Linked DNA regions of Bombyx mori. The protein of the gene in region 3 purifies or fractionates together with the protein of the main gene of each other region. This does not show direct contact. Links are inferred from orthologs where the notes say so. Each region holds a gene or a part of one and is shown on either strand. Other genes may lie near its edges.

Region 1 (4,328 bases), on a different chromosome or scaffold from region 3:
GAAGCCTACAGAAACTCAACAGAACTAGTTCACATGATGAATATGAGGTAAATTTTACAGCTTTACAAGTAAAATGAGTAGTATTGTATTTGTCATAGTTTGTTTTTTTTCTTTATTGTTGACTGTAGAAGGAAATAAAGTTTAGTCATTCTAGAAAATTTGATAAGGATGGAATGTATTTATTTGTACGTATTTCAGATGGTGTATTTTTCTTATTATTGAGATAAGAAAAATTCTGAATTTATCAAGTTCTCTATCTATCTTATGACCAACCTTCCATGAATAGATAAAATGTTTTAATATTCACTCAGTTTTAGAATTCGCACACATGGTTAAAACTACATTTACAAAGTATTTATTTACACATTACATTTTCTGACGTCCTAAATACATTTATCTTATAATGGTTTTTCAATGTTAAATTGCATAAGACTATAGATGGTTCTTTTTACTCTTCATTTACTTTATTTATACTGCAGTGACCCGTGGATGCAAATGCTGGTCATTCACCTGAACTTAAAATGTAAATGTTATTGTGATTCCAATATATATTTTTAGATAGCATTGCTATAATGTATTTTTCTGTTAAGACAAAGACAATTTTCCCTTAGTTATAAGCTGTAATATACTATATACATACAATATTAGTTTTATAAGTATTACATAAGGGAGCTTTTTATTTTATTACTAATAGACTCTATTGATAAAACATTTAGAGAAACACTAAGTTATTTACATGCAAACATACAGAAAACATTCCATCCAGATAAAATTGTTTATTTAAATAATAATAATGAACGGTCTTCTGTTGGAATGATAACTACTGATATCTACTTAAATGATAACACCTAATGATCTCTCAACACTTAGTCTGCGACATCTGTTCATGACTTAACCTAGCCTAATCTATCCTAAGAAGCAGGGAGCCTGGAGATCAGTAATACAGGTCTTTGAACCTAGTACAGACTGCAGTTCTTTCAAAGGCTAACAAAATAAATTGTAAGGTTAATCTCTATTTGTATTTGTACTATAACTTTAAAAGAGAAATAATAAATAATGATTATTATTACTGTGAAAAATAATAAACATTACATGTAAAAATACAAAGGACTTACTTGACTGATAAGGAGAAGTCGCCAGGGCTTGATTCGCTGATCCTTATCAAGAAGCCACCTTCAGGTTTGTTTGCTAAGAGTTTTTCTGCATCTGCTCTTGTAATACGCCCATAATACCAACTGAAAAAGAGAGGTTATGTAGGCACACCTTTAAAATACAAATACTTACTATTTTCAAATTAATAATTACTTAAAAATTATGGTTTTTTTTTAATATGTCCCAAGACAGTTTTTAATCCTTAAAACTGGTGGATAGTGAGAATTTACACCGTAATATCTATAAGCTCCTGTAACTACTTGACACAAGGTGGTTTGTGACCTCATTCTGACATCCAATTCATTAAGTCGATGCACTGGATGTGCTTAGATTTCTCTTCCAGTCTAGCTGATACAATATACACCACACAATACACCAGTAAGGTATAAACAAAAAATAAGTAAATGTTCTACAAATATTTAGAATTTTTATTACTATTATTACTAATAGTAGTTTTTGGTGGTCAGGTATGCTGTAAGCATACACTGTATGTGTGTCTCTGTATACCATATTTGTCTTGCAGCAATTGTGCCTTTAGGTTTGAACCTTAGGACAGTTATTATCACAATGCAATTGATACTGCATCTCACATCTCAAATTAGGTGGTCATGGTAGTATGTTCTGCATTCATATTATAGTACTACTCAACACTATGAATTAAAGGAGCATTTGTATCACTTCAGGCATAGCCTTCACATTAATTTTATTGCTTGGCAAAGCATTAGCACTTACAAAATCAACAGGTTTATTTCTGATGTATAATCAGATTCTAGTTGAAGAGACCATTCTCTTTAATATATGTTTAATAACTACCTTCTATCTATTCAAATCTTTTCTCATTGAGAATCATGAAATAAAGTTTAGTACTCAAATAAAAAAAGCACTTTTCGTAATTCTTAATTGTGTAATAAAAAATACACCAAATTTATAATTTACTTTGAAATCAAATATTGTTTTCTCCTTTCAAAATACACTTCATATGTTTAAAGACACTTTGGCTTTTATTATTACAATTGGTAATGTAAACAAACATTTGTTGATTAGTTTAGTGGCAGCTGGTAAGTTACATGAAATTTCTGTTGTGTATCTATAAATAACATTCATTTTGTATGTTCTTCTTCTAAAGAATAATGAAATGACTTTGTAGATTAGGTTTGGCAACACTCTCCGGATACCATAGTAGTTAAATGTAAATAAAAATGAGTAGACCAGCCCAAGTTTAATTATAAACAAACAATGTTTACATTATCAGTTTTCTTCAGCAAATGTTTGGAATGAAATGAAAACATTCTTTTTCTAAATTTTATCTGAGATCTCTACATAGCTACACAAGAGCAATATCTTCTTGCTTTCACAAATAAAACCTAAGTCAAAAATAAACTGGTTATTTTAATTAAGAATATTTTAAAATCGTTATAAGTATCAGTTATAATTTTAAGACTAGAAATATTAGATATCCCACTTACCTGTGATTTTTCATTTGTATGTAATTACTAGGAATGAGCCCTTCTTTCCCGTCTAATTCAGCTCTGTACCAGTTCATATCGTCCTCCATGTTTAGAATCTGCAATAGGAACCATTCTAGAAAGAACTATCGCTAGGTATTAAACAAAACAAAAAGTTAAATAAATATTTAACTTACTTTTAATACTTGATTTTTTCTAAAACTGAGCTCATCATCTGCGGTTGCAGTAAAATCGTGTTTTGCTAGAGCCTCCATGATCAAATTAGGCACTTCACTGAAATGTCACCGAATTCTTAAAAATAACTCTTAAAGTACACAAACTTTCCAAAATGTCTAATGTCAAGGAAGTAAAATAATCATAATGCACGTATTGTCTCACAATGTTGAATAAAAAAGATGCGTTTTAGTTACAAATTTAGAAAAACCCAATCGGAATCCGTCTGTACTCAACACATCACTCACTTTACAAATTGACAAAAAAATCAAAATGTTGCCACTTTGCAGCTGTGTTTTTAGCTCGAAAATTTACTTGCATTCATGTGTGTTTTTGATACTGGCAAGGAACATAACATCAACTTTACCTGTAAAGACTAAAAACAAATTCATTCTACATTTGAATTGGATCTCACTTATAAGAATCGTCTACTATAAGGATTCGTAAAACATGTAGATGAATTTAAAAACCTAATTCATTATGAAAATATTGAAATTGACTAAAAGATTTAGATTCAGACGCCCCAACTAAGTTTAAGAGACGAATTGCCATCAAAACTTAGGTCTAAATTTAAACTTTTCAGCAGAATGTAGACTAGAAGGACGACTATGGACGAAGGACGACTTGCCATTAAAGACCACAAAATGATATTGCCTGAATGGTAACTTGGCTAATTTTTTTTCACTTTCAGCATATACATATTTCTCATTAAGGAAGACCGAGAGTGAGAAAATAGACAGAGCGTCTCATGAACCACTCGACCGTGGAGAGAGGGAAAGGACAAAGTGAGCTAGATAGTTTATCTTATATATAGCATTCCTTATTAATGGGGAAATTTGATTTAAAGATGAAAAATGAAGAAAACCACAATACTACACACCACAAAAGAAGTTTCCCTTTTTTCACGTGCACCAAGTTGTACACGCACCATATTTTTTTTAAATATTGTGGTTGTGATGAAATATTCTTTAACTTCATCGATATTATCTTACAAATAATCACTATTTTACATTTCGTTACTGTTGTGTTTATTTTTGCTATTTATTTGCTTGAACGCGTGAGCGAGATCAAAGCCCGCCTAGTTTGATGTGGTTACCGAAGCTCATAGACATCAAAACATGAATGCCAAATTATGACATGAGGTTCAAACTAGCAATTGGATTCTAGTAATAACTGCCTTTGCCTTTCTAGCCGGCATCAAGTTTAATATGATACAAAAGTTCCGATACGTGAAATAATTACCACTTAAATGGAGGACTATAATCAGTAAATTGTAACATATTTTTGCCAAACAGAAACAGTTTATTGCTATCCAAAAAAATAAGGGCAATAGCATGTACTTAATTTTATTTACAACTGCAAAATTAATTTTGAAAAATTCATAATAAAAAATCTGCTTACAAAAATACAATTTTGCTAATTCTCCTTTCTTAATTTGAAAGCAAATAAATACATAAAACCAAAAAAATGTATAATAAAATTAGAAAAGTTTGATTA
Region 2 (3,657 bases), on a different chromosome or scaffold from region 3:
TTTAAGGATAGAAGTAAAATTAGTTGGAATGAAGTGACTTTTCACTGAAATGGTAACCCGTAACTGAGATCTCACTGGACTTCGAAAAAAAAAAACCAAGCTATATACAGCGCTACCATACGACACATCAATAATGTTGCCATCCATTATACACCACGAGCTTCAAGTCCTAATTGAATTGTAACTGAATTGTAACGTTCAAATTAAAATATATCGATTAGGTGGCGTGTCGAATTAAATTCTTCTCTATTCACTATCATTATACGAGGGCTGCACTAAAAGTATCGGGAATGGAATATTTCCACTGTTCCTGTCATATTAAAATTTTTTTAATCGAAATCTCCTTGGTTTTAAAAATCGAATCCCATTTATTTCTTTAAAAAAAGATTCTCGGTCTTGTCACGAGGTTTTGTCAAACTTGTTTAGTCGTTGAGAAAATGGAATTGACTCGAGAAAATTCAAGAGCGATGATTTATTATGACTTTGAAGTGATTTAACACAAAAACAGTGTGTTGACCGGATGATTTCTGCATTTGATGATGAAGCCCCATCCAAAACCACAATTTATCGCTGGTTTGCTGAGTTTCAACGTGGACGTATCAAGCTCAGTGATGATCCCCGTCAAGGTCGTCCAAAAACTGCAGTCACCCAAGAAAACGTTGATGCTGTGCGTAAGCTGATTGAGGAAGATCGACATGTGACATACCGCGAAATTCAGGCAACTTTAGACATTGGCATGAGTCAAATACTAATAATCTTGCATGAACAATTAGGTGTAAAAAAGTTGTTTTCCCGATGGATACCGCATTCGCTCTGTGAAGAGCAAAAAGCGGCTCGCGTTACTTGGTGCGTCAGAACTCTCGAAAGATTCCATGCAGGATCCTCAAATGCTGTATACAACATTGTATCAGGTGACGAATCCTGGATATACGCGTACGAACCCGAAACAAAAAACCAGTCACGAGTTTGGGTGTTCGAAAATGAGTTAAAGCCAACAAAAATTGTTCGTTCACGGAGTGTTGCAAAAAAAATGGTGGCCACGTTTGTCTTCAAAACCGGCCATGTTACGACTATTACTCTTGAGGGACAAAGAACGGTTAATGCAGAATGGTATGCTAGCATTTGTTTGCCACAGGTCGTTTCTGAACTCCGTAAAGAGAACTGCAACCGCCGCATCATCCTCCATCACGACAATGCGAGTTCTCACACCGCGCACAGAACAAAAGAGTTTTTAGAGCAAGAAAACATAGAATTATTAGAGCGTCCGCCGTACAGCCCCGACCTAAGCCCTAATGATTTCTATACTTTCCCTAAAATAAAGAATAAATTGCGTGGACAGAGATTTTCATCACTTGAAGAAGATGTGGACGCCTACAAAACGGACATTTTGGAGACCCCAACTTCCGAATGGAATGGTTGCTTCAATGATTGGTTCCATCGTATGGAAAAATGTGTCAAATTTCGCGGAGAATACTTCGAAAAGCAATAAATACATTTTTAAATAGTAATGTTGTATCACTTCGTGAATTCCCGAAATTTTCAGTGCCGCCTATGTAACTTAGCATTAGAGGCCAGGCCAACTCAGGGTATTATAGGTCAAAATGTATTCAGATTAAATATGAGTAGTTTATTATAACTTCTGATTGCATCGTTTTCCAAAATCTGAGCACTAAATAATAGCTTAGAATTCACATAAAAACATACGGATCGTGTGTATCAAAATATATATCGAGGGTTGAAGGGCTTAAGTGACATTTCGCTTAATACGCGAAATTTAACTTTGTAATATTATTAAAGGTGCGTTTTATTTGGTATTAACAGTTCGATGTTTTTAATTGATCTTTTACGTACGAGGAGAGCGGTGCGAGTGACGTCAGCGAGGCGAGGGGCGGGGGCGGGGGGTGGCGGTGCGAAGTCGGCGCCAGCTCGGGCGGCACCTTGTCCGGCATGTCGTTGTAATACTCTCTGTCCTCCACTAGCCCACAAGCGCTTTCGCAGCTGGGCAGAGATCCATTGAGATTTAATCTGTTGGAAACATTACAATACGATATATTTATGGTGCGTAACTAGGGGGATGATCTTTTAATAGGTCTCACTATCTGAAACTCGGACAGTCCTCTTGGCCTACTGTTTCAAGGTCAGTGATGGTGTCGCGAATTATTATTTTATACTACCTGGAGCCACTGCGGTCATCCACAGTGCGTTTCCAAAGGTCTTTTTGCCACGTACCATCCGGCTATGGAATGAGCTCCCCTCCACGGTGTTTCCCGAGCGCTATGACATGTCCTTCTTCAAACGAGGCTTGTGGAGAATATTAAGCGGTAGGCAGCGGCTTGGCTCTGTCCCTGGTATTGCTGAAGTCCATGGGCGACGGTAACCACTCACCATCAGGTGGGCCGTATGCTCGTCTGCCTACAAGGGTAATAAAAAAAAATTGTATGTGTTTCGGTATGTGTAGTGATGTATTTATCGAAAAAGAATAATGCGAACCGATTCGAAGTAAACAGGTGGCAGCACTTCGCAGCCTTCACTAGTGTTAACCAGTTACATTGGAAACGACTTTAAGTTTCAACTTTAAAGTCAACAACTGCTCCACCCTTAGAACCGGAGCGAATTACCGATTCGCGACAGAAATAAGCAGGATGATGACATCTACCACTAAAACGTCTATTGGCTTATAGTAATACTCAAGCCCCAACTTAAGCGGGAACGCAAGGTGGTTTCTAAGCAGAGATAGCTAGACGAGCGATGTTAGCATACCCTGCAGGCGAATGAAACACCCTGCTATCAATAGTGTTGCTGGTCGATTGTGACTAGTCTTCCGCAAATTCAGTGCCCACAGTTCGCATTTACACATAATACACACAGAATTCTTGCAGGTCATAATACGTTTCCTAACAAGTTCTGAATGAGTGATTCATAAATACCTAAGGATACTGCATGATTGTTACTCATCGAATTCAATGAATGCTTACGGACATAAGTTTGCGTTGATAATACAAATGGTTCAAGGTTATCTAATGATGATAAACTATATTTTATTTTAATTTATTTAGAAGCAACATTAGTTTAGATAATTTATTTCTCGTTTCACATGGTACAGTTAGCACGAATTACGTCATTTCATAGCTAATATAGAAACCATTTGCATTATTAATACTTTCATCTCCCTTGGAAATCCCTCACGAAAATAATATAGTATCCACATTAATAGATTATCCAATAGCTTATTCACGGGTCATTAGGTCTATTTAGTTCTAAAATGAATAACATTATGATAAAGCAATCATTTGTAATCATTCATGATCACAATACCTTTGCTATAATTCAAGCGGGTCAGACAGACTATGTGACACAAATTGGTATATTAGGAATGATGACTTCATATGAGGAAAACTTTCAAATTATGACTCATTACACATGGAGCTTTGGCTTTATATGGTCCAGTATACGTAATTGGGCTTTCGCAGAATATCTTTGTACTGATATTTTTACATTTTAAAATTCTCTAACAATGCATTTGAGCTTTGACATTTTCTTTTACATTTACATTTCACATTGCTTGTTAATTTAAGTAATTTACATTGAATGAACGGATGACCCACATTAGTCGCATATTAAAATTAAAAAAATATTCAACTTACGTCGAGGGTTTCG
Region 3 (4,163 bases):
TTTAGATGTACAAAATTAATAAAGCTATCGGGAACTAATCCACTATGGTTTTCACGAATCACTTAACACTGGTGGCACCCATGCAAAAAATTTTTAAAACTAATACTTCGATTAATTTTATACGAACGTATTAAATTACAAACTATATAAACGAAGGTCATCATTTTCCCACACAAAAATCTAATATTAAAATAATTTAAGTGTGGAATTTAGAACGAAGTTTTATGAACTAAGAAATGTTAATGAATTCGAATATAACATTTCTAAATTTTTTTAAAAGAACATAATCATTGAAATAACTATCAAGATACCGTTATTTTGCCATTGATGCGTCACAAATTGTTCAAAACATTCGATTCTAACGATTCATCAGCATTCCAAAGCAAAAGTAGGCAATTGCTTGTCGTTTGACTTTTCTTTTGATGAAATTACAAATTCCAATTACGAATGACGATATTTACCTGTCTAATGAATTATCGACACTATATGTACAACAATGTAGTTCAAAACAGTTTAAGCGTGCCAATGCTTTCTCAAGCCTGCCAATAAAAAAATGTTGTACCAATAAAATAAAATAAAAAATACAACGAAGTTTTCGCTAAACTCAAACCAATGACTATAATAAAACAATAGGCCATTGAGTCGCGGTTATAAAAATAATGTTTGGTGTTTTTTTTTTCAGAGCAGCTAAATAAAACGTGCTTTATTTTTGGCAATAATATAAAGCTCCATTGTAAGTTTCAGTCCTTCACAACTCAGACTAACTGATTTGAGTGATTGTAGATTTCATAGTTACTGCTGCTTAAGATTTACGGCAATAATGATACTGCTTTGTTACAATACGGGACCAGAGCAGACTTTGGAATAAATAATAAAAGTGAAAAAATATATGACTTCCTACCTTGACATAAAGTCCATATCTGTGCGACATTCCGAGTTATCCTCACTTACCCTCTTCATACAAATAACTAAGTGAGATTTATGCTTTATTTATAATTTATTATTATATCTACACCAAGAAACGGCAGAGGTCACAACTCATTACCAAGATTTTCAATTGATATTATGTATGTGATAAAGGTATCGTATTTGTATGTAAATTATCAGAGAATTCAATTAAATTTGTTTATCACATACAAGATGTCAGAGATCGTTTAAAATAATTAATTAGCTAACAAACATTATTTATGTTTGATTACCCGCGTATGCGATATGTTGAGAAAAACACCTTTATTATTGCCTTGGCTTCAATTATCTAATACAAATGGAGCTAATCTTATTGGTAAAACAATACTCAGGACTCTATTGCGTGTATTTGTTGCTAGAGAATTGTCAATAATTTGGTTATTACGCGCCTTAAATATATACTACAGTGGGCGTGTGTGTGTGTGTGTTGTGGCGCCAATATTTTTATGGCGACATTTATTGAATTTTTTTTTTGCTTTTCACGTAAGCTGCAGACTATTTTTAGGAAAATTTGACTATACACATATAATTTTACACATATTACTTTTAGTGGGTAGTTTAGCTGTGTCACTAATTGTAGATGTTCGCGGAGATGGTGACCGCTTGCTAACAAGTAGATCATATGCTATAGTATTCACTGGAGAAATTACATAAATGTTTGTAGTCCTGAACATGCTTGTCTGTCTGGATAGTATTTTTTTAATAGATTGACAACTACGAAGACGCTGTCATTTTATTGTTGGTATTTTTTTGTTTATTGTAACAAATGTATATTAGATATGCGTTTTAAATTTAGCGTTCGATCCCCCCCCCCTGTAAATTTGTTATTGCATTATATCTCGCTTATAAATCTATACAATTTTTTGCTTAAGGTAAACAACAAAAACATCCGTACCGTACCGTACCGTACCTTAAAATATACCGTAGTAAAGCTTTTGTTTGCTGTGCTTTAATGCAAGCTTCTATCAGATGAAAACCTTTATTTTCATTCATTAGGCTTATTATAGGATTTCTCGTGAGCAAATGATCTTTAAAAAATATATTTTAAGAAATCACGTTGGCTTACCATGCCATCATCAAGCTTAAGTTCAATAACAAGTATATTTGTTAAAGTTTTAAAATAAATTTAACACGATCTTAGCATGGCACATAAAAGCTGCACAAGCGTGGAAGTCAGAACGCTTAACAAAAGCGCACCTTGCCTATTTAAAACTGGTCTCAAAGGAGTTCGAGTCGCATCCTTTTGACGCTCCCTGAGAGAACATTGTCACAGGCAAGATGTGATTTAATTGTTTCGCGTTGACGGGCCATGCTTGCGCACAGCCTCTCGTTCAGTTCACTGTACCGACACCCAGCTTTCCGAACTATATAAGGCTACGTCTGTAGCCTCGAGATAAGCTTTGTTTATTTTATTGCCGCGATTAGACCGTACTAAGTCTATTGCTACAAGTTTATGGCGCTATTTTACAGCTTTGTTCCACCGATTGAGGTCACGTTACAAACGTACACTACATTTGTTTTTTTTTGTTTTTTTTTTTTCTTTCACAATTTATAATACACGCACTGGATCCGTGGGCGGCACTTACTTTTTCCTTTAACGAATTCCGAATGTTTATGTCTTGAGTTGACGGGATGGTGGTTGCGGTGTTTGGCGGCGTCCACCGTCCCGAAAGCGGCAAGGCACAGGCACCACAACAAGGCACGAGCAGCGACCATGCTGCGACATCACTCGCGAAGCTGCCTCAGACACGAGCGCCCGGCACTAACTTCCATCGTGTACTGGCCCGGCCGGTTTCTGGAGGCTTGCGTTGCGCGGGCGCACCCACAGATCTAACGCTTTTCAGACTCGTTACCGCAATGATCGACACTTTGGGCGGGAAATTTGGTTTTCTTGTACATATCCTTGAATGGATATCTTTGACGTGATAAGATCGTGCACGATGAGATAAAAAGTAATTACGTATGTTTCTATTTAAAAGCGAAATCTTTGATAAAGATACGGTCAAAAGCTCGCACCGATCTAAAACAGCACCTACTCATTTAAAACCGAAAATAAGCCATTATTTAAAGAAACACCAAAATTACTTAATCATTTACTAATGCAAGCTCTAAATAAATTGTAACAGGTATAACGCGTGTTTAATGTGTGTTAGGGAACAGCACTGCCGATTCTAAACATCACTAGTTCTACAGTCCCTTACTCCCTCTCCGAAGCACAGGTAAACGTCGAGAAAGACTCAGGTATGCGTTGGACTAAAAAAAAAAGCCACCACGTAATAAAACTTAATAACTACGCATTGTGGCCCGTGCTGGTGTTGATAAACCGGACTGTTTAACTCGAGTGCACCGAAAGTGTTCTCTTGGGGAATCCAAATGTAACCTTGGGTAACCGTAAATTACGAACAGGAATCAACTATGTACTCCTTTTATTTATCCTATCCAAGCAATCCTATCCAAGCATTTGTTTACTATATTTTTAGGATGTGCTATCCAGCACTTGAGACGAAACAAATTTCTTCATCAAATTGCTGTTTGGACGGAGAGGTTATTAGTTAATTCTAATTTGTTTGGAAGCAGCACGGCACATGTCCAACTGCAAACTATAAATTAAAGTGTTTCGAGTTATGTAAATATGTGTTATGGGACACAAAAGTAACTCTTAACGTACGCTTGAGACTATAAAATTATAAAGGTAGATTAAACTCGTTTTTATGGTTAATGCTTGATGCTTTCGAAGAAAAAATGCTATTGAATTTTATCGATTCACATAAATTCGTGTTATGTCAGGAACTGAAATCAAAACATTTTTGATGTCAATAATCAAAACGCACAAATATTGCAATTAATTTTAACTTAAAAGAAAATAGGTCACGCTTCGAATTGGAGACCGATACGGGAGGTTATTTTTTATAAACTAATTGAAATATATTATTAAAGAATGCAGTATTATCAGATACATACTCCTACGTTCAGTTTGAATACTGTTATTATAATTGTTTGTTTAAATAAAATTTTAAAAATTTGACTAAAATTCGCCCTTTTCTTGTAAGCATGCATGAATGCATTTTTTCTGTTAAAAATTTTGATATCTACTTATGTACCTCATTCATCAGATAGTATAGTATTTTTAGTAATATTATACGAAGAAGGCAATGCACTACAAAATTCTAATTAAAAAAAAACCCACCGTCACATTA

What was found.
Region 1: the proteins of epidermal growth factor receptor (region 3) and DRK purify together in Drosophila melanogaster (affinity purification with western blotting; 4 studies listed by BioGRID, with this or other methods). This does not show direct contact. The link is inferred for Bombyx mori from reciprocal best matches to the Drosophila melanogaster genes Egfr and drk.
Region 2: the proteins of epidermal growth factor receptor (region 3) and SHC-transforming protein 1 purify together in Drosophila melanogaster (affinity purification with western blotting; 3 studies listed by BioGRID). This does not show direct contact. The link is inferred for Bombyx mori from reciprocal best matches to the Drosophila melanogaster genes Egfr and Shc.

The regions. Positions count from the first base shown.
Region 1 is NC_085123.1:5,830,614-5,834,941, forward strand, and holds the start of DRK (DRK protein), read right to left. Parts: upstream 2,873-4,328; coding exon 2,795-2,872; intron 2,717-2,794; coding exon 2,619-2,716; intron 1,236-2,618; coding exon 1,116-1,235; intron 1-1,115.
Region 2 is NC_085111.1:5,633,698-5,637,354, forward strand, and holds part of SHC-transforming protein 1, read right to left. Parts: coding exon 3,645-3,657; intron 2,026-3,644; coding exon 1,852-2,025; intron 1-1,851.
Region 3 is NC_085107.1:5,369,736-5,373,898, forward strand, and holds the start of epidermal growth factor receptor, read right to left. Parts: upstream 2,857-4,163; 5' UTR 2,683-2,856; coding exon 2,553-2,682; intron 1-2,552. UniProt on the Drosophila melanogaster protein: Receptor tyrosine kinase, binding ligands of the EGF family and activating several signaling cascades to convert extracellular cues into appropriate cellular responses. Known ligands include spitz, gurken, vein and giant-lens.